Arabidopsis thaliana: one gene and its partners. The protein of the gene in region 1 interacts with the protein of each later gene in a pairwise test. Each region holds a gene or a part of one and is shown in the gene's direction. Other genes may lie near its edges.

What was found. The genes of interacting proteins can lie anywhere in the genome.
Region 2: the proteins of AT3G53630 (region 1) and AT4G02820 interact in a two-hybrid assay, tested with the Arabidopsis thaliana proteins (one large-scale study listed by BioGRID).
Region 3: the proteins of AT3G53630 (region 1) and AT2G17670 interact in a two-hybrid assay, tested with the Arabidopsis thaliana proteins (one large-scale study listed by BioGRID).

Annotation. Positions count from the first base shown.
Region 1 is NC_003074.8:19,880,525-19,888,578, forward strand, and holds AT3G53630 (uncharacterized protein), read left to right. Parts: upstream 1-3,336; 5' UTR 3,337-3,461; coding exon 3,462-4,039; intron 4,040-4,565; coding exon 4,566-4,668; 3' UTR 4,669-5,037; coding exon of another isoform or gene 5,038-5,044; 3' UTR 5,045-5,414; downstream 5,415-8,054. Other genes in the region: PPa4 (pyrophosphorylase 4), read left to right, coding at 967-1,102, 1,213-1,241, 1,542-1,607, 1,692-1,799, 2,188-2,253, 2,336-2,456, 2,533-2,614, 2,742-2,784; AT3G53640 (Protein kinase superfamily protein), read right to left, coding at 6,483-8,054.
Region 2 is NC_003075.7:1,255,281-1,263,329, forward strand, and holds AT4G02820 (Pentatricopeptide repeat (PPR) superfamily protein), read left to right. Parts: upstream 1-3,251; 5' UTR 3,252-3,300; coding exon 3,301-3,642; intron 3,643-3,728; coding exon 3,729-4,985; 3' UTR 4,986-5,416; downstream 5,417-8,049. Other genes in the region: FAF1 (FANTASTIC four-like protein (DUF3049)), read left to right, coding at 973-1,788; AT4G02830 (uncharacterized protein), read left to right, coding at 7,167-7,262, 7,360-7,449, 7,601-7,757.
Region 3 is NC_003071.7:7,671,134-7,678,909, forward strand, and holds AT2G17670 (Tetratricopeptide repeat (TPR)-like superfamily protein), read left to right. Parts: upstream 1-3,185; 5' UTR 3,186-3,286; coding exon 3,287-4,678; 3' UTR 4,679-5,143; downstream 5,144-7,776. Other genes in the region: AT2G17650 (AMP-dependent synthetase and ligase family protein), read left to right, coding at 1-246, 331-1,803; AT2G17660 (RPM1-interacting protein 4 (RIN4) family protein), read left to right, coding at 2,226-2,435.

The DNA of each region.
Region 1 (8,054 bases):
TTTAATTTATTGTTTTCCTTCCAGAAAAATATTAATATTCTTTCTAAACTAAAAAATGGAGTCTTCAAATAGCACAGAAGCAGAGACATAGAGCGGGAACGCGTTTAGTCACAGCTTTCTTCTCCTTTAGCTTTTCTCTCTACACTTGCTTCTCTCTCTCTCTCCTTTGGGTTATCCTTCTTGAGATCTGTGCTTGCGTTTCTTCTTCATTCGACGACACTTTATCTCGGGAGATTTCAGATTTGTCGATTTGTTCAGGTACGGATTTCGAAATGTTCTTTCAATCGGATTTGTTCTTCCTCGGAAGGTTTCTAGGGTTTTGGGATTGGGTGTCTTTAATCTGTTTGCATAAGCCATGAACGAGTTTTTTTGTTCCCCCGAGAGATCTTTGTGACTTGTAGATCTGAGTTGGGTTCCAAAATATTCAATCTTTGTGATGTATATCTACATTTTTAGATTATCAAACTCCATTAAAGAGAAAATCTTTGCTCGTTTCTCTTAAGGCCCATTGCTTTTTATCTGAAGATGATTTCAAGAGAGTGCCCTGTTTTTTTGTATAAATAAAATTTTGATCTTTTGCTCGCTTTATACACATGTGGGAACGGTTTTGTCGGTGGAGACATTTATGGATTCGTGAACTGCTGCAAAAATTATGCGTTTCTTGGACGTTTCTGTAACTTTCTCTTTATTAGATTTTGTATCTTGTGTCTCTGTGTCCACCATTGCGTTGTGTGTATTCAATTGATTTCCCCAGGTGTTGAAGATTGTTATTTATATATTTAACTTATTTTATGCACAGAGATCTTTAGTATAATTCATGAAAATATGGTTTTATCTTCCATGATCTAGGGGAACTAAAACATTTGTAAAGTTTGAGCCCATATTTTGTGTTTGTTGCTTTTCAGAGATGCATATATTATGGTTGTTGTTCTGTTTATGAATTGTTATGTGCATTGTTTTGCAGCAATGGCGCCACCGATTGAGGTTTCTACCAAAAGCTACGTTGAGAAACATGTTTCACTTCCTACTCTTAATGAGAGGATACTTTCGTCCATGAGTCACAGATCAGTAGCTGCACACCCATGGCATGATCTCGAGATAGGTAAGCTATACGTAAAGGTTTCTTTTTCTTTTTTTTGGCTCTAAGATCATTTCATTGTTTTTTAGTAATAACTCTTATACCTTTTTTGCTTCGCATTCCTTTGTTTACAGGACCTGAAGCCCCAATTATCTTCAATTGTGTAAGTGTTTTGCTAAAGCTCTAAGGATTGAAAATATTTAATTATATTGTCACAAAACTGCCATTATGCGTATTCGGAGATGCTGCAGTTGTTTACTATTTCTACAGAATTTACATATTTGTAGCATTCACTCAAAGAAAATTAAAACATTCATTGGCTATATATCTTGAAACCTGAATTGAGTCTGCTGTAGCATATGAAATGATGTTCATCGCCTGATTAGGAAACCATTTTATGGGTTTAATCTTTGAGATATTGTTGTGGGAATCATTAACCAAGCATACGGAGGCATTATTACAGGTGGTTGAGATAGGAAAAGGGAGCAAGGTGAAATATGAACTCGACAAAACTACGGGTCTCATTAAGGTATAAATTTGATTGCATTAACTTTCTTCGCTGTCCCTTTCATTATTAGAGGTACGATTGTCTAAACTTTACACATATTCTCAGGTCGACCGTATTCTTTACTCATCTGTCGTATACCCACACAACTATGGGTTCATTCCGCGTACCCTTTGTGAGGACAGTGACCCTATTGATGTTCTTGTCATTATGCAGGTAACATATTTTTTCATACAATTTTGAGAACCTGCATAATTCATTACATAATGTTTCTTGTTCTATTTTGATTTGTGCATCTGATAAGCTTTGAAGAAGTTCAAGCGCTCAACTCTTAGCTATAGACTCTACTTTATAACTGTGTAGCTTAGGAATGAATGTAGCAGATGAGAAATGTTGCCAGTCAGTTATCGAGCAGTTAGTGGCTGCTAGGCTTATAAAGGTGTCTCAGCATATTGTTTAGAGTGTGGATTTTCTAGTGTTTACTCTGGAATTTAAAACCTCTTATTAATCAATCAAGTCTATAAGCATCATCAGCATCTCAGTCTGTCTTATTTGACTGGTAGAAAACACATCTCATGTGAATCTTGTTGAATATTTTCTACAGGAACCGGTGATCCCAGGATGCTTTCTTCGGGCCAAAGCTATTGGTCTGATGCCAATGATTGATCAGGTTAGATATTCAACGTACTTGTCATATTAGTACTTATAAAAGTAACAGAGATTGAAACTAGAAGCTCTTTCTGCTTGAATAGGGTGAGAAAGACGACAAGATCATTGCTGTCTGCGCTGACGATCCAGAGTATCGCCATTACAACGACATCAGTGAGCTTCCGCCTCATCGTATGGCTGAGATCCGCCGTTTCTTTGAAGACTGTGAGTGTTCTTTTCTTACAAACTTTTGGTTGGTTAAGGATGATATGAGGCTCATACTCTTGTAATCTTGTTGCAGATAAGAAAAACGAGAACAAGGAAGTAGCCGTTAACGACTTCCTTCCGGCAACTGCAGCCTACGACGCAGTTCAGCATTCCATGTAAGTAGCCTTCATGAAACTTACTGTTATTTACTTCATATATTATGACCTTGTAAATAGCCGCAATTTGTTTATATCAAAGAATAACTAACTAATCAAATTGGGACAACTCTTTTGTGTCATGTAGGGATCTCTATGCAGACTACGTCGTGGAGAACCTAAGACGTTGAATCACCACCTCAAGCAATGGAATGAAAGCTCACAACTGCATTATTCACAAATATAAATATACATATAAATGTCAGGCTTCTCAAAGGATATATTTGTTGTGTATGTCCTCTGATGAATCCGGTAGATGATGCCGATAATTCTTTTTTTTTTTTGTCGTATGAAACCGATAATCAAAGACTAAAACAGGGATTTTTCTCATTTGTGGTCATCACTTTTTAAATTTTGGTGTCATTTCTCATCTTAATCAATTTGTTTTTGAGTTTTATTCTTCTATTAGATCTTTTATACATCAAAGAATAGATGAAGATTCCTCCCTAAAACCTTATAGTATGTCATTTATTCACAATATGTTATACGTGTTAATTTTCTCTCTTTTAGTATACTCTTTTTTTTTCTTTCAGATTCCATCCCAAGTTGCTTAAATTTTGTTAAAACCAACTAAATTCCATAGTTCAATTTACAAATCTGTGATCAGATGCTATCTAAATGAATATTACCATTTTAGCCCTTACCTTTTCTGAAATTTACCACGTTTACCTCAATGAACCGTCATCGCAAAACCAAAAACCCTTTCCTATCCCTAAAACCCGAGAGAGCATCTTCTTCTCCTCTTAGGGTAGAAGAAGGACGAAAATCGGAGGAGGAAGAAGAAGATCGATTCGATTTGTGATCAACGATGAGCTCCTTCAATGGAAACAGCAACATCGACAACCTCCTAATCCAAACCCTACTTGGACGTCTCCAAATTCGTCCCCCTAACTCTCATTTCCTCTCTCAATCCCTAGACGACCTCCTCTTCAAATCCGACGACAGCGACGGCGATGATGACGGAGAAGGTCAGACCAGTCTCGACAGAGAAGAAGCTAGGCTTGAGAAAGAGCTAATCCGAGTCATCGTCTCTGGTCGAAGCGATTCTCTCAAGCCGAATTCAGGTCAAGCCGTGACAGTCAACGAACACCACATCTGCGTTGGGTTTCATGAGGATGAGGAATCGGATTATCGTGTTTGGGAGTGGCATGGTCATATCATGTTGTTTGATGAAGAGAATGGGTACACGCCTGAGTATATCTACGGGAATTACTTCGAGAGGTTGCCTGTGAAGCTTCCTAATAACCGCCGTGTGGAGAAGGAGAAGAAGAAGGAGATGAAAGAAGAGGAGGTGGAGAATTTGGGGCTTAGAGAGTTGATCGATGGTGGTGACGCTGCTCCTGGTAGGATTCTTCATAGGAACAACATCAACATCGGTTCCTCAAGGTTTGTTTCTTACAACTCCTTTTAAACTTTCTATCATTCTGTGTTGCTTTCGGGATGATTTAGTTGTTCATTGATCTAGGGTTGGCTAATCAAAGTTTTAGGTCATGTATTAGAGTATGTATTCAGTGAGAAATATAACAATGGCTCATATGTTTTGGATGATTTTTGCTGTTAGCGAATTCTGTTTTGAAATTTGATTCGCTCATGGTGAAGCCTTTAGTTTGCTTTTACAGTTTCTTTTTCGTTGCAAGACAATAAGTTGATGAAAAGAGTTTGGAAAATGATAGTTTTTGATCATTGCCAGTAGTGAATTCAGCACTTGCTGTTTCCTGAATGAAGTTACAGGTTAGGCCAATGTGTGGTTGTGGATTGTGGTCATTGCATTTCTGTCTCGAAATAACACATGGTCGTTAAATACGATCGATTAATTCTCCTCAATTCATATTAGATAGTTGTTTCCCATATATGTATGATAAAACTGCATGTTCTTACAATGCTTTTTGTTAACTTTTTTACCTTGCTCTAGGCCTTCAATGCTGTTTTGGACACTCGATTTAGTTCACAATGTGACTAGTGAGACTTCGTCGATCTCCAAATCAATTGCTTTCATATACAGTTCACTATATTAGTCAGGGATTTTCATGCCAAGAATATTCATTTTTACGGTGTCCACAAATATTGATATAGAATGTTGTTTAAATGTTCATATGATGACCACATCTAGATCTTCCGATATCCATTTACATTACTTAATGAGAGTTCTAAGACGATGAATTTTAAGCTTGTGGTGTGATAATCTACTCAATAGTATTAGTAATGCTTGATCTTACTCTTGCCTTTTCATATTCTGTTCGGATATCCATCCTCTTCCAAGTATCTATTAGATTATTCTCTTGTTTCACTTTAGATTCCAACTTTAACTTGATTATCTTGCGGTTACATACTCAAAATGTTTAGAATCGATCACTGAACTTACGTGGTTCATCGTGAACTGGCAGGGTCTAAGTTCCTAAGAGCGTCTTGGTAGGGAGAGGTCACATTGTTCGGGAAGATTTCAGATGTGTGAACAACTCGCGACAACAAAACATAAGGTGCTGGTGGGTCTACGGGTTCTATTCCGTTTTATTTAAACCGGGAAATCCATGGGTGAATCTGTTTTCTTTAAGAAATTCATCTGAAGTTGTTTCTGAACCAAATTTACAATACATGTTAATGAAGAGAGAAAAGATTACAATGCATGGTCATCGAACTCGGAAGCTTTCAAGTTTCCCCATGTTTGTTTATTTTGTGTTCTTAAATCAGAATCATATGTTTTGCTCATTTTACAATTCTGCTTTCGATAACGAAATTTAATTGAATCGTTTTCAAATCTCGAGTACTTCCAATGAAGATTTCACCTTTTTTTTTTATTGGTGAATAGTATGTATTATATCGGATTTAAAATCACGTTGTGTAATATAATGAGGAAAGTCGTACAAACTACCAAACTAAATGTACGGTAAGAACTGGGAAGCACATGTGTTGCACACGTACCCAATACCCATGGTAGAATGTTGTTATTCATTATTGTTTTAAAATAATATTTAAGATAATAATTTTTTGGAATTTTTAGTTATATTAAGACTTTGTAAAAATTAAATCTTTAATTATTACAAATAAATTGATTTGATATTTGTAACGTAGATATTATTAATCTTATTAAGTTTGATTTTACATATTTAAACGTAAAAATGAAGAAAAAGGTATTTTTCCAAATTTACTCTATTTATAATCTATGTATTAAATTTATATGCTTAATTATAACTTTTTAATAATATAATGCTTAATGTTATAAATATATGTGTGTGAACACTTCTAATACGTACCACTTTCTAAAATTCTTTAAAAATCGTTTTGATATGCAAAAGTTCTACAAAAATTCGCTTAAATAACAATTTCCTCTTCTTTAACTCTTACTCTTCATTTGTTGCCGTGAGTTTTCACCATTCAGAATCATAGTCATTCACGAAATATTCTCATATATATTTTTTTTTGTTAAAAAGAAATGTCAAGTGTAGAAATAAAATGAAAAAAGAAATAAGATATTAGAGAAATACAAAGATTGAAAAGCGATGTCTTCAGAAAATAGATGTTGAAAGCAAAACAATGTTTGCAGACATAAAGTATATTCGGTTGTGCAATGAAACAATGATGTAGACAAAAAAAAACAGTCCTATCAAGCATTGATTTTCTTAACCACTAAATTCAAAAAAGTATGCAATTTTGATCCACACACCCTTAGCTTAAATTAAATCGTCACATTTTTTTTCAACTGTCGAAACTGAATCATGATTCTAAGAACAACATCGTCATTATAACACTCTTTAGAATCTTAATCAAAAAATTAATTGTGTAATATATAGAATGTACATGTATCCAAGCAAGGGCAACAACATTATGAGGTTCACTTGCCCGTGATGAATGGGTGAGCTAATGCCTGTGACACTGTAAGTCTCTTTTGAGGATCAAGTGTGAAAATTTTGTCCAAAAGATTCCTGAAATGAACCAACACCTTGGGATCTTCATCCTCATAACGTCGTCTAATTACTGAACCTAAATCTTTTGGCTTTACGTTGACCATTATTCTCCTTATTGTCTTTCCAGTAACACTATCCTCCTCTGTAGCATAGAAGCATAAGTCCTTATCAAAGTGTTGATCGATAAATGCTCCTTTGCGAAGCATCTTTTTAGGGAAGGGACCTTTCAGTTCCATATGCAGGCGTAACATATCATTGTTTGTGGAGCCAGGGAACATAATTTTCCCGCTATAAAGCTCATACAGACAACAACCAACTGACCAAATATCTAACGGATGGTCGTAGGGTAGTCCAAGAATGATTTCTGGAGCTCTGTAGAAACGACTAACAAGATATGGTGTAACTTGGTTTTCACCAGCAAACATTGCACTACCAAAATCACAAAGCTTTAACATGTTTCTTCCCTCATTCATTAGTATGTTATCAGGCTTTATATCGCAGTGAAGAACCCCACAGTTCTTGAGATGTTTAAGGGATATGAATAACTGCTCAGCATACACTCTAACATCATATAGTTTTAGACCAATGTTGACACCAATCTTCTTCACAACTTCACGGAGATTCAGATGAAGAGACTCAAACACCAAGCAAAGGTGGTTCCTATATTCAAAAGTTGAAAGAAGACGGACGCAGTGGTGCTTATTCTCTGGGTCAGAGCAAACTAGCTTCTTCAATATCCGAATCTCAGCCTGGCCAGCCTTATGCATTGTCTCATTTTTCCGAATAATTTTTATAGCCACTTCCTCAGGTTCACCTAGCTCAGGTTTTGTGTCTTTTGCACGCACCACGGTAGAGAATACACCTTTCCCATGAGTAGCCATGATTTCATATCTATCATCAAGTAGTTCACCAAGCTGATAACTGTAATAACCTTCTGCATCATCCCAATTATCATTGAGTCCACTCCTTACAAAAGGAACAAGTGCATTCCCTTTCCGAGTACCATCAGCTAGAGGAGACTCCCCAAAGATATCATCACTGAACATGTCACTCTTTGGGCTGCCTGCGGAAGCTAGTGTCATATCTGAGTCTGATATCACAAGCCGTGCAGGTGTTTCCCCAACTGCTGAAGATAGCTTGGCGACTTCACCATCTACGGCCTCAGTATCCAACCCAGCTTTAGCTTGAACATCTGCCACAGTAGAGGACTGCTCCAACTTTTTCTTATATTTCTCCAATATGGCTTGCGTAATCCTCTTGCTTTCCTCGATTCTTTTCATCTCTGCAGCTTCTTGTTCTTCAACTCCCCAAACAACATCTTCACCGTCATCATCATTATCAACTTCAGACCTTTCAACGTTGCCCTGAGTTTCACCGTTAGGTTTATGGCTTTTTAAAGAATCTAAGTCATCTTCTGCATCATGCCTAACTTCCCCATATCCATCACCACCACTTTTATAGATCTCCTGATCACTCTGGTCTTCTCTTCTTCCTCTATC
Region 2 (8,049 bases), on another chromosome or scaffold:
TAGGTTTTTTGACAAATGACTTAAGCAAATTCTATAGACTACAATATCCATTACACATTAGTACATGTAATGATCAATGATGTAAACAAATAATTTTGATAACATTCTAGTGTGTGTACGTGTGGGTCGGTGTTCAGTCACTCAGACATATTAAATTATAGTCACTGGATGTTTATGTTTTATTTATTGGAGACTTCATTGGACCGAAATAAATAGGATAGTTTGGAATAAATAAATAAGTATTAAGAAAACTTGAAATAGTTTTCAGACCACGGTTGCTAGAATAAATCGATATTCGTTTTCCGGCTACTAAAAGTATAATAATCACTAATATTTAAATTTCTAATGATACCTTTCCTTGTTGTCCTTAAACTAGTATTAAAACTTATAATTCGTTGACATAATGAAAGCTTTTTGTTCGTTTAATATAGTTTTCTCATAAAGTCATAATAACAAACTTTTTGTTCGTTTAATCCTGTCTAAGTAACTTATGAATCACAATAACAAAATACACTAAACAAAAAGTTAATTTAGTTTATAAACGAATGAAGTGATATAATATTAATATTTTTATCATTAAACGTAAATCATAGATTAAAAAAAAGATTTGGCCAAAAAAAAAAGATTAAAGAAAATATTAAAATTAAAAATAAATAATGATGATTCTACCATATTTGGTAGTAGTAATTTGTAAAAAACTTTCTTTTAATGTAATTGAGTTTTCAGAATTCTTATTTTTTACCAATCCACGTATCCAACTAATATTACATTAAATAAATAAATGTTCAAGAAACTAATTGGAAATCATAAAATAAATCTCCAATCTAAAGTAGAACCGCATTATAAATACAAACTCATCCCTTCTACTTCCCATCATCTTCATCACACACCCATACTCTTCCTCGAACTCTCTTCTTCTTTCTCTCTTACTTTGTGTTTGCTCTGTTTTGCTCTCTTAACACAACACAAAAAATGTCCATCGTTGTTGGCCAAGCTTACCAACATCTTCCCAAGCAAGTAAGCCAAAATCCTGACGTGGGTGGATGGAGTTTCTTGCAATATTTCTCTGAGCCAAAAGGCATTGTCCAGAACAGAGAAGACGACACAAAGAAAACAGCTTATGTCTACCCGATCGAGAAGCGTTCCGTAGCTAAACTGAGCCTTGAGATGTGCACAGAGAGCCTCGGGACCGAGAATGGGAGTGATAGTGGAGACGAGATGTCGTTACTTGCGCTTGAAGCAACCAATATTTCAAAGAGTCCTCGTCTTACTACGAAACCTCAAAAAGAAACTAGCTTCATGACCCGTGAGAACAGTTTTCCTCCGCCGCTAAACTCCGTCAACGGATTCAACAATAGCCGTATGGTGAAATCGTATAAAGAAGACGGTCGTCTTGTTGTTCAAGCAATTAGGGTTTGTTCTCCACCTCGTTGCTTTGTATCTGAACGTCGTGAAGGAAGGCTTCGTCTCTGTTTATCACAGAATTCATTGAATAGCCAAGACGCAGAAGAAGAGTTTGAAGAAGAAGATGAAGATGATCAATACGATGCAGAGGAAGAAGAAGAAGAAGAAGAAGAAGAAGAAGAAGAAGAAGAAGAAGAAGAAGAAGAAGAAGAAGAAGAAGAAGAAGAGGACGAGGAGGGCATTGTGGGGAATAATGAGAACTTTGAGGGTAAAAGTGGAAATAAAAAGGTTAGCAACAGGCCAAAAAGGAGATGCAATGAAAATGGATGTGAGCCTAAAACTATGCTTAATTGGAAGCAGCAGCAATTTTGGGTGACCACTTAATGGGAATTACTCAACTCAGCAAATAATTATTTTTTACGGCTTCTAATTCTACATATATAAATGCTAAAATGTGAGTTAATTGTTACTTAAACTGTTTAACAACATAGAGAACTAATCTTCATTATCTGCTTTTACTTTTTAGTATGTTATAGGTAACCTTTGATTATTAACGAGAGTTTTAGTTATGTTTTCATAGACTAACGAGAGTGAAACTATAGTTTTAAAAAGGGTAATAAAGTACCAGTAATAGTGAGACTGACGAAAACTATATGATATCTTTCAAAAAACTTCATTGAAATTTTGGTAACATCATCTACACTAGTTTGCAACACATCTTTGTGCTTCTAAGCGCAGTCAATGTCAATGTTATTGTCATCACTAGTCTTAGTAGCACCAAGGGATACCACACTTTTATCATCAACCATCAGTCCATCAAATGGTCATTAATTCATATTTAAGTCTTTTATAAGAACTAAAGGTTTCTACAATTTTCAACAAAATTAAGTAATGTAAATGTCGTTTATGAGTATGCGAATAACTTTAACATTATTATTGTAGACCAAACTCTTTGACTGTCACGTGTGCATATTTATAGACACTTGCTCGTACGGACGTAATTGAATAAGAACATATAATTTGTAGGTCCATTGTACACGATCTCTCTACTTTCTTGATATTCTTCCCTCTGTCTCGACCAAATTCGTACTATATAAATCTCGGAGTGATATCAAAATAGATTGCAAGTATATGATTGAGCCAATGAGAAATAGACAACATTACGATGTAATGTCCAATCTTACGTACAAATGTGAAGAGCAATCTTTGTTCTCTGCAAACGAATAAGAGAACATTACGATTCTTTATATATAACATGCCACTTGACTCCGCTTATAATTGACCGAAATCTAAAGCAAATCTCATCATGTACCCATCTTATTTGGTATATTGATGATTCGATTTTATTTTATTTTCAATATAGAAAATGTATTTTCCATATACTTAATGTTATAAAAAAAAAATCATGTTTATATTTTAATTCAAGTTGAATCACTTTTTGACGAGATTATGCGAAATCAAGTTTTGATGGAAAAAAATATGGAATTGTGTTTTTGACGGGAAACTACGGAATCACTTTTTGACGAGATTATGTGAAATCAAGTTTTGACTGGAAAATTTGGAATCACGTTTTTGGCGGGAAAATTATGGAATTACGTATTTAGCGAAAAATGTGAAATCACGTTTTGACGAGGAAAATTAGTTCTTATTTGTTGTGAACAGTGAACTAGTGAAGTTAACCAAAGTGTTGCAGTTTTGATAAGGCTAATGACTACTAATTTTAGAATGATTTTTATTGACTGAGAGAAAATTTTGAAAGTTCTTTTATGTACTGCTTTTATTTTGGTTTTAGATTGGGCCGAGACAAGGCCCAACAAAGAAATAGCTCAAACACACTCACTTAGCAAATTACTCAAACAGCAGAGAGAGAGAGAGAGCTCAGTAAACTAAACAAAAATGAATAAAAACATGTTGGTTCGCTCTGCCCGGCCAACCCTAGCCTCCATTCACCGCCTTTTCTCCGCCGCCGCCGCCGCGACTGTGGACACGGCGACGGCACCCGTGGTGAAGCCTCGCAGCGGAGGAGGAAAAGGAGGAGAATCGGCCAACAAAAAAGAAACGGTAGTTGGAGGAAGAGACACTCTAGGAGGGAGATTACTAAGCCTTGTGTATACGAAACGCAGCGCCGTTGTTACTATCCGTAAATGGAAAGAAGAAGGCCATTCCGTTCGCAAATACGAACTTAATCGTATCGTTAGAGAGCTTCGTAAGATCAAACGCTATAAACACGCTCTTGAGGTTCGTGAAATTTCTCTCAATTTTGAATTCGATTGTGAAAACTCTGCGAAGTGGTAAAATGTTTTTTTTTTTGTGTGTGTGTGTAGATATGTGAATGGATGGTTGTACAGGAAGATATAAAGCTACAAGCAGGTGATTATGCTGTACATTTGGATTTGATATCTAAAATCCGTGGTTTAAACAGTGCTGAGAAGTTTTTCGAAGATATGCCAGATCAAATGAGAGGTCATGCTGCGTGTACATCTCTTTTACATAGCTATGTGCAGAACAAGTTGTCTGATAAAGCTGAGGCATTGTTTGAGAAAATGGGTGAATGTGGTTTCTTGAAGTCTTGTTTGCCTTACAATCATATGTTATCGATGTATATATCGAGAGGACAGTTTGAGAAAGTCCCTGTGTTGATTAAGGAGTTGAAGATTAGAACATCTCCTGATATTGTTACTTATAATCTCTGGCTTACTGCGTTTGCTTCTGGAAATGATGTCGAGGGTGCGGAGAAAGTTTATCTTAAGGCGAAGGAAGAGAAGTTGAATCCGGATTGGGTGACTTATAGTGTGTTAACGAATTTGTATGCTAAGACTGATAATGTCGAAAAGGCGAGACTTGCTTTGAAGGAGATGGAGAAGTTGGTTTCTAAGAAGAACCGGGTTGCTTATGCTTCTCTTATTAGTCTGCATGCGAATTTGGGTGACAAAGATGGAGTGAACTTAACCTGGAAGAAGGTTAAGTCTTCTTTCAAGAAAATGAATGATGCGGAGTATCTCAGTATGATATCTGCGGTTGTGAAGCTTGGAGAGTTTGAACAAGCTAAAGGTTTGTATGACGAATGGGAATCTGTTTCGGGAACAGGAGATGCTAGAATCCCGAATCTAATCCTTGCTGAGTACATGAACAGAGATGAGGTTCTTCTAGGAGAAAAGTTTTACGAACGGATTGTGGAGAAAGGGATAAACCCGAGCTATTCTACATGGGAAATTCTCACATGGGCTTATTTGAAGCGTAAAGACATGGAGAAAGTATTAGATTGTTTTGGGAAAGCTATTGATTCTGTGAAGAAATGGACTGTGAATGTAAGATTGGTTAAAGGAGCGTGCAAGGAACTTGAGGAACAAGGGAATGTTAAAGGAGCAGAGAAGCTAATGACTCTGCTCCAAAAGGCTGGTTATGTGAACACTCAGCTCTACAATTCCTTGTTACGGACATACGCTAAAGCAGGGGAAATGGCACTCATAGTTGAAGAGCGAATGGCAAAGGATAATGTAGAGTTAGATGAAGAGACTAAGGAGCTTATAAGACTAACCAGTCAAATGCGTGTGACTGAAATCTCGTCCACCATTTCTTAGTATGAAAGCTACAGAGTTAGTTTCAGTCTGCAACTTCCACAAACCGAAGAATACAGAAACCGTTCTCTCAAGTCCGTACCAATCGAGATACTCGTCTTGAAGCAGTAACATTCCACTTACTCGGACATTTAGACCTTGAGGAGAGTGTTCAAAGCTGCTAAGGAATGAAGTTGCTACAAAGATATGATTTTTCCTGTTTTTTAATTTTCAGAATTTAATATGATTAAAATCTCGTTTTATATTTTTGGTTCTCTATAGTTCTTCTGATGATGTCAAATGATCTTTGAGAGGTTGACTAACTGAAAAACCTACTTCGACTCTTCTTGTTGGGTAGTTATGACTTGTGTAAGCTTATGTAAGCTTTCAAAGACTTGTGTCCAAAGTGGATTTGTTCACCTCCAAACACTTAGTCAACTATTTTAACCATAAACCCATATCCATAAAGCTTAATAATTTTTTCCTAAAACATGAACATTTTCATGGCTCTACTATTCACCAATTATTATAGCATTTTTAAAGCTGGTAGGTAAACTAGATTTGGGTATCCATAAAACCTTAGCATTGGATGTGTTTGAATCTTATTCCTCGGTTTATTTTAATTGAAGTAGATGGTTAATTGTAAAACTATAATTGGCAGGCTAGAGCTAGCCGCCCATACTAATTATTAATTACTAAATTTATCTCCTCGAGTAGTCATGTAGTCTCACGACTAATCTTGATATAGAGAGCCCACTTGAGGTAAAGATCATCAACTAATAAAATCATCTTAAAAGAAGTTCGACGAACTTGGGTTGGTTGGTGAAGGTTGTTAAGAAGAAGTGGCGTCGTTGGTCGTTTGATTTTCCTTATTTTTCAATAAAATTAAAAATATAGAGAGAGATATGGATTATGGGATAGTAGACGACTATAATTAATAAATGTTACTTTTTCTTCTGCCCATTTTTATATCATAGTTAGCTAGAGCTTTTAAAATACAAGTTTACACAAAATTAGACTCAATCCTCGAAAAGTTTTGGTTTCTCATTGAAGAAATACGAATTAAAGTGATTGGCTATATATAAAAGAAATACTAGGATGAGACAATCAATAACAAGTAATGCGAAACAAAATTCGCTTATAAATAACAACAAATTGATAAAATGTGGTTTGTTTTGATACTAGTTTTATGTGTTCTCGATAGAATTGATGTATAGCCAAAAAATCACAACAAAATGATAAAAATATTAGTTTGTAGTTTAGGTCAAAGTTATAGTTCTTTTAAGTTTAAGGAACAATTTAAATTAAAGCATTAAACATTTTAAAAAATGTCATTAAAAATATGAGAGAGGCGTTTACTTAATACAACTCAACCCACTCCCCGACATGACCTCCTTAATCTTTCTTAGAAACTCTATATAATATAACAAAACAATATAAAATACTTCTAGTTCTTCTGGAAGTAAATATCCATATATTACCATGGACTTTGATGCATGATTTTTCAGTTTAAAAATGAAAAAAATCAGTCAAATAATGTCAAATTAGCATGTGAATTTTACGTGGTTGTAGAAAATATGTGAGTCGTAGATAACAATAAAAACCTTTCCATAGTAAAAAAATGTATAGTCTAATAGTTTCTATTAATGTTGACGTTACCTCACGGTTACTACACGGTTTATATGAATAATTGCAACAAACAAAAGCTTCTAATAGTAAAACTTTATAGTCTAGTAGTTTTCATTAATATTGGCGTTACCTCACGGTTACCACGCGGTTTATGTGAATAATGGTAAAAAAAAAACACTTTCCAAAGTAGAAAATGATATGATTATTTTTGTTTTGTTTCGAAAATTTGAAATGAAAGGGTGTGTAACTCTCGTTTCATCCTCGTAGTAATGATGAAACCAAATTCAAATAATAAAATCATTGAAACTCTTCTTTGTTGTCAACATAATAATTAGTTTTCTATAAAACCAAATTTGTCGTCATCATCTCTCCTTCTACTTTCCAAACCCATTAATATTTATAGTTAAGATTCAGGTCAGAAGTTGGGGACAATCAAAACCTCTTCTCTTCTTTCTTTTGTCAACAAAGAAACATTTCCATTGAGTCTCTCTCAATGTTCTTCTTCTTCTTCTTCTAAGATTAATTCAAAGTGTTTAATACTTTTGAAATTTTAAGTTTCTTTTTGGTCAGTTTCAAATGGGTGACATCATCGGTCACAAGGATAGGCAAATATGGCCACCCTCTCATCATGTTCTTCAAGATCCATTGTTTGATCATTCCAACAAACATCAGGTTTATATTATCTTATATCTAAATTTTTTCTATTTGAATTTGTTATTTTTTTCTCCTATTCTATATCGAAGTCGTTGTTAATTAAATTCTCACATAGTTGCAGAAATATGTCAAGAACCACCATCACCACGGCAACGGTGAATTTCGTCGGCCCGGGGCACCTCCTCTTAGACAAACATTTCCTTTGGTATTTCTTTTCAATCTTTTTTTTGGTTACAATCTCTTAACGGTATTGGAGGAAATATCATTATGGACATTAACGTATGTATTTAAACATATCTTATATATTTTCAAACTAAAGCTCAAATATTTTGTATATATATTTTTGTGTGTTGAAGAACTATAATACAAGACAAAAGCACCAAAGCAATTGGCAAAGGAGTAAAGGAGAGGATCGTATGCAAGCATTTTTCTTGGTTACACCGGGCCGTACAACTTCTGGCACCGGAGTTTTTCTTCCAGCCACGGCTTCTCATCCACCCACCAAAAAAACAGGTTATTTATTAATTACTCTATACTAAGTATTTATGAACACAAATAAAGGTGCATAATGTTTTCAATTTCATAAAATCAATTCTACCAACTGCATATACTAAAATTCTTTTAGTTTCAGGTTAAAGTTGATTTGACATGATTTTTAACTTACATTTTGTCGTTAAGTCGTTTTTTTTTTTTTGAAAATAATGTTCAAATTATATTCAAAAGAAAAATAACTTTTTTACAACCACTGCTTCTTGAGATTGAAGATTTAGAGCTAGACAAAATTTAGAAGAATTTGAAAATTTTT
Region 3 (7,776 bases), on another chromosome or scaffold:
AATTCCGGCGGATTTCCCGACGATTCCGAGCCGGAATCATGGAGAACTATAGAGGGTCTTCTCCGTTCCCCTGCAAATTTCTCTCCTTTATCTCCAATCACGTTCTTGGAGCGATCCGCTAAGGTTTACAGAGACAGAACCTCTCTTGTGTTTGGTTCCGTTAAACACACTTGGTTCCAAACTTATCAACGTTGTCTCCGTCTTGCCTCTGCTCTTACCAATCTCGGAATCTCTCGTGGCGATGTGGTTAGTCTCTTTAAATTGTTCAATTTTCTGCTCTGATTAGGGTTCTCGATTTAGGTTTAGTGATAAAAGAGGAAACTTTTATAGGTTGCAGCTTTAGCTCCGAATGTTCCAGCTATGCATGAGCTTCATTTCGCTGTTCCTATGGCTGGTTTGATTCTTTGTCCGCTTAATACTCGACTTGATCCTTCCACATTGTCGGTTTTGTTAGCACACTCCGAGGCCAAAATCCTCTTTGTTGATCATCAGTTACTTGAGATTGCTCATGGAGCTCTTGATCTTCTTGCTAAATCAGATAAAACTAGAAAAAGTCTGAAGCTTGTGTTGATCTCTCAGTCTAATGATGATGATGATAGTGATGAAGATAGCTCATCTACCTTTGCTTCAAAGTACTCTTTTGATTACGAATATGAAACTCTGCTTAAATCCGGAGATAGCGAGTTTGAGATAATCAAACCGAGATGCGAATGGGATCCTATTAGTATAAACTACACTTCAGGGACGACTTCGAGACCTAAGGGTGTAGTGTATAGCCATAGAGGAGCTTATCTCAATTCTCTTGCTACAGTCTTTCTTCACCAGATGTCTGTTTATCCGGTGTATTTATGGACAGTGCCGATGTTTCACTGTAACGGATGGTGTCTTGTTTGGGGAGTAGCAGCTCAAGGTGGTACTAATATCTGTCTCAGGAAAGTCTCTCCTAAGATGATCTTTAAGAACATTGCTATGCATAAAGTGACTCACATGGGAGGAGCCCCAACTGTGTTGAATATGATTGTGAACTATACTGTGACTGAACATAAACCGCTTCCTCACAGGGTTGAGATCATGACAGGTGGGTCACCGCCTCTACCGCAGATCCTGGCTAAGATGGAAGAATTAGGTTTCAATGTGTCTCATCTTTATGGTTTGACAGAGACATACGGTCCAGGGACACATTGCGTGTGGAAACCTGAATGGGATTCACTTTCGTTGGAGGAGAGAACTAAGTTGAAGGCTAGACAAGGAGTGCAGCATTTGGGTCTAGAAGGGCTCGATGTGAAAGATCCGCTGACAATGGAGACTGTCCCTGATGATGGTTTAACCATGGGTGAGGTTATGTTCAGAGGAAACACTGTGATGAGTGGATATTTCAAGGACATAGAGGCAACACGAAAAGCTTTCGAGGGAGATTGGTTCCACAGTGGTGATCTCGCTGTTAAGTATCCAGACGGGTACATAGAGATAAAAGACCGGTTAAAAGATGTGATCATCTCAGGAGGAGAAAACATAAGCTCAGTGGAGGTTGAGAGAGTTTTGTGCAGCCATCAAGCGGTTCTTGAAGCTGCTGTTGTAGCACGTCCAGATCATCACTGGGGACAGACTCCTTGCGGTTTTGTAAAGCTGAAAGAAGGATTTGATACCATCAAACCCGAGGAGATTATCGGGTTCTGTCGAGATCATTTGCCGCATTACATGGCTCCAAAGACTATAGTTTTCGGGGACATACCTAAAACCTCGACGGGGAAAGTACAAAAGTATCTTCTGAGGAAGAAAGCTGATGAAATGGGTAGCTTGTAATCGCCATGTAAGAAACAAAAAAGCTTAGTCTCTGGTTCATGTGTGTATGTAAGGAAACAAAGATCAGAGAATCATAAAACCACCGCGTGAAAATGAAGAAACAGATCAGCCATGGATATGATTTGGCTATAATTAGATTTGTTACGCGGAAGGCCAACGATTTTGTTATTTTTGTGCCTCAGAAAGATTTTAAGACATTAAAAAAAGAAAGAAGTAGCCAAAAGAATATTCCGCCGTGTCTGAAACGAGTCCATTTCGTAGGAAGATTTCAAAGCACAATCTTACTTATCTGTTTTCTCTCTTCTCTCCATTATAAATAAATCTGCATCCTGTGTTAGAATCTTTAAACAAAACCATCTGACTTATCAACAACAACAAGAGGACGAAGAAGAAGAAGAAGATTGTTACTTTCTTGATCGATAATGGCGTCGAATGAAGCTGGAAGGGCATTGCCGAAATTCGGGGAATGGGATGTGAATGATCCAGCGACGGCGGATGGATTCACGGTGATATTCAGCAAAGCCGGTGAAGATAAAAAGACGGGACGGAGTTCGACGAAGACGAATTCACAGAGGAAACAAGATGGTGATAAACCAGCGGTCAAGAAATGGCTCTGTTTCACTTTTGCTTAATCTTTTTTTTTTGTTTGTTGAGTAAGTTTTAATCCTAAGAGAATGTAGCTTTGAGCCTTATGAGCCCTTTGACAACTTTTGTGTTAGAACATTTCATTTCGTTTTTAGTTATCTAATAAAACAAATTCTGAGGTTTTGTTTCTTAATGATAAATCTCTGCATTTGGTCATTTGGAAATCAACAAAATTGTAGTTGTTGATTAAAGAATTGCAAAAGTCATACAAAAAAGGTCTCTTAGATATTGAGGTGAACACAAACTCTTGAACATGTTCAAAATTCATACAAAATGTGTTCTTCCTTACAAAACCTTTCTTTAATCTCTATTGATTTGGTCTGTAGAACAATGTTCTTGTATGGGGTTTATTGAGAAAACACAGAAGATCTTTCGGTTCTTTAGAGAACATTTTGCGGAAAGATTGTTGTTTTTAGGGCTTTGCCCACAAACTTGTACAGAAAGCAAAGAAAATACTGTGTTGAGGCCTTGAGGGAGAGAGGCTATCGCACAAACTGACTTTGGGCTACCATTCAAAAGCCCAATAGGCCCAATGTATTTCTACGGTTTTTCCTATTCGCTAACGTAAGCAACAGACTACCATGCGCCGTCCTCTGTCCATTTTCAACACAACAGACAAAATGCATCTTCACCCACACTTTGGGCCGATATTAACAAGCCCAATAGGCCCAATGTCTTGCCACGGTTTCTCTCATTTGCTAACGTAAGCAACTAGAGTACACGAGTGTAACTACTATACGCCGTCCTCTGTCCATTTTCAACACAACAGAGTCACAAAAACCTCTGCAAGAACCCTAAAGCTAAAACCTTTTTGCGATCAATCGAAAGAAAACAAAAAATGGGGAAAGTTCCGTCGTCGTTTCGTAGTATGCCGGCGAACTTATTGGTCAGAAAAACAACACCATCTCCTCCAGCGCCGCCGCGAGATTTTCGCAACAGAACCGCCGTGGGAGGAGATTCAGCCAAACTTCCCCAGAATACTCAAGCCCCTCGCGAGCCCTCCTTGAGGAATCCATTCAAGTCACCAAATCTCTCAGACGCTAAAAGCCTCTTCAATTCAATCGCCGCCACTTCACGAATCCCACTCGATCTCAAGTTCCACAACTCTGTTCTTCAATCATACGGTTCAATCGCCGTCGTCAACGATACGGTGAAACTCTTTCAGCATATTTTGAAATCGCAGCCTAATTTCAGGCCGGGACGTTCAACGTTCCTTATCTTGCTTTCACATGCTTGTAGAGCTCCTGATTCGTCGATTTCGAATGTTCATAGAGTTCTTAATCTCATGGTTAATAATGGTTTAGAGCCTGATCAAGTAACTACCGATATCGCGGTGAGGTCTCTTTGCGAAACGGGTCGGGTTGATGAAGCTAAGGATTTGATGAAGGAGCTCACTGAGAAACACTCTCCTCCGGATACATATACTTATAACTTTCTACTGAAGCATTTGTGCAAATGCAAAGATCTTCATGTTGTTTATGAGTTTGTTGATGAGATGAGAGATGATTTCGATGTTAAGCCGGATCTTGTTAGCTTCACTATCTTGATTGATAATGTTTGTAACTCTAAGAACTTGAGGGAGGCAATGTATCTAGTTAGTAAGTTAGGTAATGCTGGGTTTAAGCCGGATTGTTTCCTCTATAACACGATTATGAAAGGTTTTTGCACACTGAGTAAAGGGAGTGAGGCGGTTGGTGTGTATAAGAAAATGAAGGAAGAAGGTGTTGAGCCAGATCAGATTACCTACAATACTTTGATATTTGGACTGTCGAAAGCTGGTAGAGTTGAGGAAGCTAGGATGTATTTGAAAACTATGGTTGATGCGGGGTATGAGCCGGATACTGCTACTTACACATCACTGATGAATGGAATGTGTAGAAAAGGTGAGTCTTTAGGTGCGTTGAGTTTGTTAGAAGAAATGGAAGCAAGAGGGTGTGCTCCAAATGATTGTACTTATAATACTTTGCTTCATGGATTGTGTAAAGCAAGGTTGATGGATAAAGGGATGGAGTTATATGAAATGATGAAATCAAGTGGTGTAAAGCTTGAGAGTAATGGTTATGCTACACTTGTGAGGTCTCTGGTTAAAAGTGGCAAGGTCGCAGAGGCTTATGAAGTGTTTGATTATGCAGTTGATAGCAAGAGTTTGTCAGATGCTTCTGCGTACTCTACACTTGAAACTACCTTGAAATGGTTGAAAAAAGCTAAAGAACAAGGCTTGGTTCCATAAATGGTATCCTCTAGCTGAGCTTTACCGACTTTCTTCTTTATGCAAGTCCATATTTCATTTTTGAAGTAGTGTTACTCCAAAAGCAATGAATTTGTTTCGAAATATGCTGTTCGATTCTTAAGGGACCAGCAGTGATTTATAATAGTAACTTTGTTGGTAATATTATTGTCACTTGAGATTTCTAAAGGTTTCCTTAACACTCGAGTTATTGATTGGGTGAAAGTTGTTGCTGTGTTTCTATATGAACAGTCATATTCTATTATTCTGTTTGTATCAGCTTCTTGCCTTCAGTGTCATGTACTCTGTTCTTATGAGCTATTGTGAATACCATAATTGGTTATTGATCTTGCCTTGGGTTGTTGCTTGAGAGATCAAGCAAATAATATTTGCTTTGACAATTGCAATATCTGTTTGGGGTAAATGAGGCAGAGTATCTGAGTAAAGATTGTTTCTTGTGAACAATTTTGGTTATTGATCTTGCCTGGGATTGTTGCTTGAGAGATCAAGCAAATCATATTTGCTTTGACAATTACGCTATATGTTTGGGGTATTAAATCAGGCAGAGTATCTGAATAAAGAGATCGTTTCTCTTGTTTGGCTGCAAGAAGAGACTATTATCTTCTTGAACAATCTTTTCTTATATGCTCTGTTTTAACACTAAGCAGCCCAAGTGCAGAGTATTTGTGAATTATCAGTTGAATTACAAAGTACAAACCAAATCATTGAGGGGGACAAGAAAACAGAGGACAACGTTAATGGAATCATGAAGAAGATTTATAAGTGGTCAACATTCTGGTATTAGTCTATTTCATTGTTTATGACCAAATTCTAATCATTTGGTGAATAAACTCTTTTGTTTATTTTGATTTCTCTTCTGTCATGTTTCATTATCTAGTGTATTTTGCTGCAACATCTGTTTCTTTGTCTCCCCCATTAAACAATAGAACGCTACGGAAATAGATACATATTAGGAAGAAATGTACGTACCGCGAGGTCCACGAATACATGATTCGCCTACCATCATTGTGTAATCTATCGATTATCATAGCCTCCAGCTTTTTCTTTTAGTATAAGTTACTCCTAGCTGTCATGTTCTTATATATATCTTGCATATCTATGACTATGTACTCTAGAGAATATGAAGGAAGCAATAATAGACAATTATGGAGACAAGATGATAAGAATAATCTGAGAGCTTGCCGTGTTCGTGGTCACAGAGAGATAATTAAACAATGACAATGGTGCAAAGATCCTCATTTTTTTAAGACTTTTAATATTTAAGACAGACACAATTGCTCAAGAGCTTAATATAACTCTTGGAGTTTCCATTATGAGCTAGGTTGCTTATGAAGAAGACTAGTCATTCAACGTAGAGACTCTGTTGAGCAGTATAATTCCGTGAGTGCTAAAAAAGATGTAGCTTTTGTAAAGAAGACATGATTTTATAGTTTCAATCCAATCATATATCTTCTAATATCGATTTATAATTTTATAAATGTAGCGTATAATTAATATTTATAACTAAAGAAGTAAAGAGCATAGCCAAGAAAATACTAAACTCAAACTATATATCACGCCACAATTATAAATCACTTTTGTTTTTTTGCTAATCCCCTATGTGCAAATTAAGTGATGTATAAGGTTATTATACACACATCTTAAATAACTACGTGAATTAAATATTTATCCTGTTTGTGTTATAAATTATAAATTATTGTTTAAGAAAGTATTTGATCAATAACAAAAAATATATGATTTATAACACAAACAAGATAAATATTTAAAAATATATTTCTTAGATAAAAAGAATGAGAACATCACTTAAACAAGATAAATATTTAAAAATATATTTCTTAGATTAAAATAATTTATAGTCATCAAATAAATTACGTAATAACTAAAAATTGTTTTCTTTCTTTCTTTTTTTTGGCTCGACAAACAAATAATATCCGCTAAACTATCATATGTAAACCAAATTTTGGGTAATATCAGAATTTTATCGAAAGAGGATTATGTACAGGATATGAAATCATATATGTTATCAAAATTAAACTAAAAAAAGTTTTAAACTTTAAATGTTCCGTTGTGGTCTAGGCTACTACCTAGTTTTTTTTTTTTTTTTACAGGCTACTGTCTAGTTCATATCTTAGAAACTCGCGTGTCATTAATATCTTAGGAGCATCTCTATTACAAAAGATACCACGTAAAAGCTTTTATGTTGAACATTGAAATTGTAACCAAAGATAGAGGATCAATGCAAATCATCATGAACTTAAGGATATACTCTGGATCGGATGCCAACCTACACCAAAAAATTATTATTATTTTCTTTTGTCAAATATTTAACGTACAAAATAAATTTGTCACAACAAGAGTCGCAGATTTAACATAGTCGAGCAAAAAGACGGAGTGACAATATTATAAATAAATAAAAATCGTAAATAAATTGATTTTTTAGCTATATTGGAATTAAACAATAATGCATTTCTATAATATTATTTTTCTTTACAAAACAATAAAAACATTTTACAGCAAAATATTACTCATATAATTTATATTTTTAAATGTAATTCGAGTAATTAAATTCAAAATATGGGTCATTCTAATAAATTTTCTTTTGTTTATTTGCATAACAAAGTATTATTACGACAAACTTTTCTATCATTTCTTATATAGTATAAGTGAAAAATGCACCTCCCATATAATTTATTTATTTTTCACAAAGCACATGCTCTTTAATTTGTAGCTACATAAATATAGATCCCATAAACTTTTACAATTGAAAATTTGATTCCGTAACTTCTACATTTAACATTATGCATTAGTCTTATTCATAATATGTAAATCTAATTTTTATTTTACTAGTAACAATATTTAATGATTTCTTAATTTTGAATTCTTTTCAATATTGTTAGTGACTCTTCTGCCAGACCCAATACATAGAAAAATCAAATGTTGCAGCAATCAATAAAATGCCGATACAATCAACGAAAGATTCGACTATTTTCCACGTGTCATAACACAAGATGTTGAGGCTAATCAGACAATATAGGTATGATAGGACGAGGCATAATATGGTTGAGGAAGATCTGCATTTC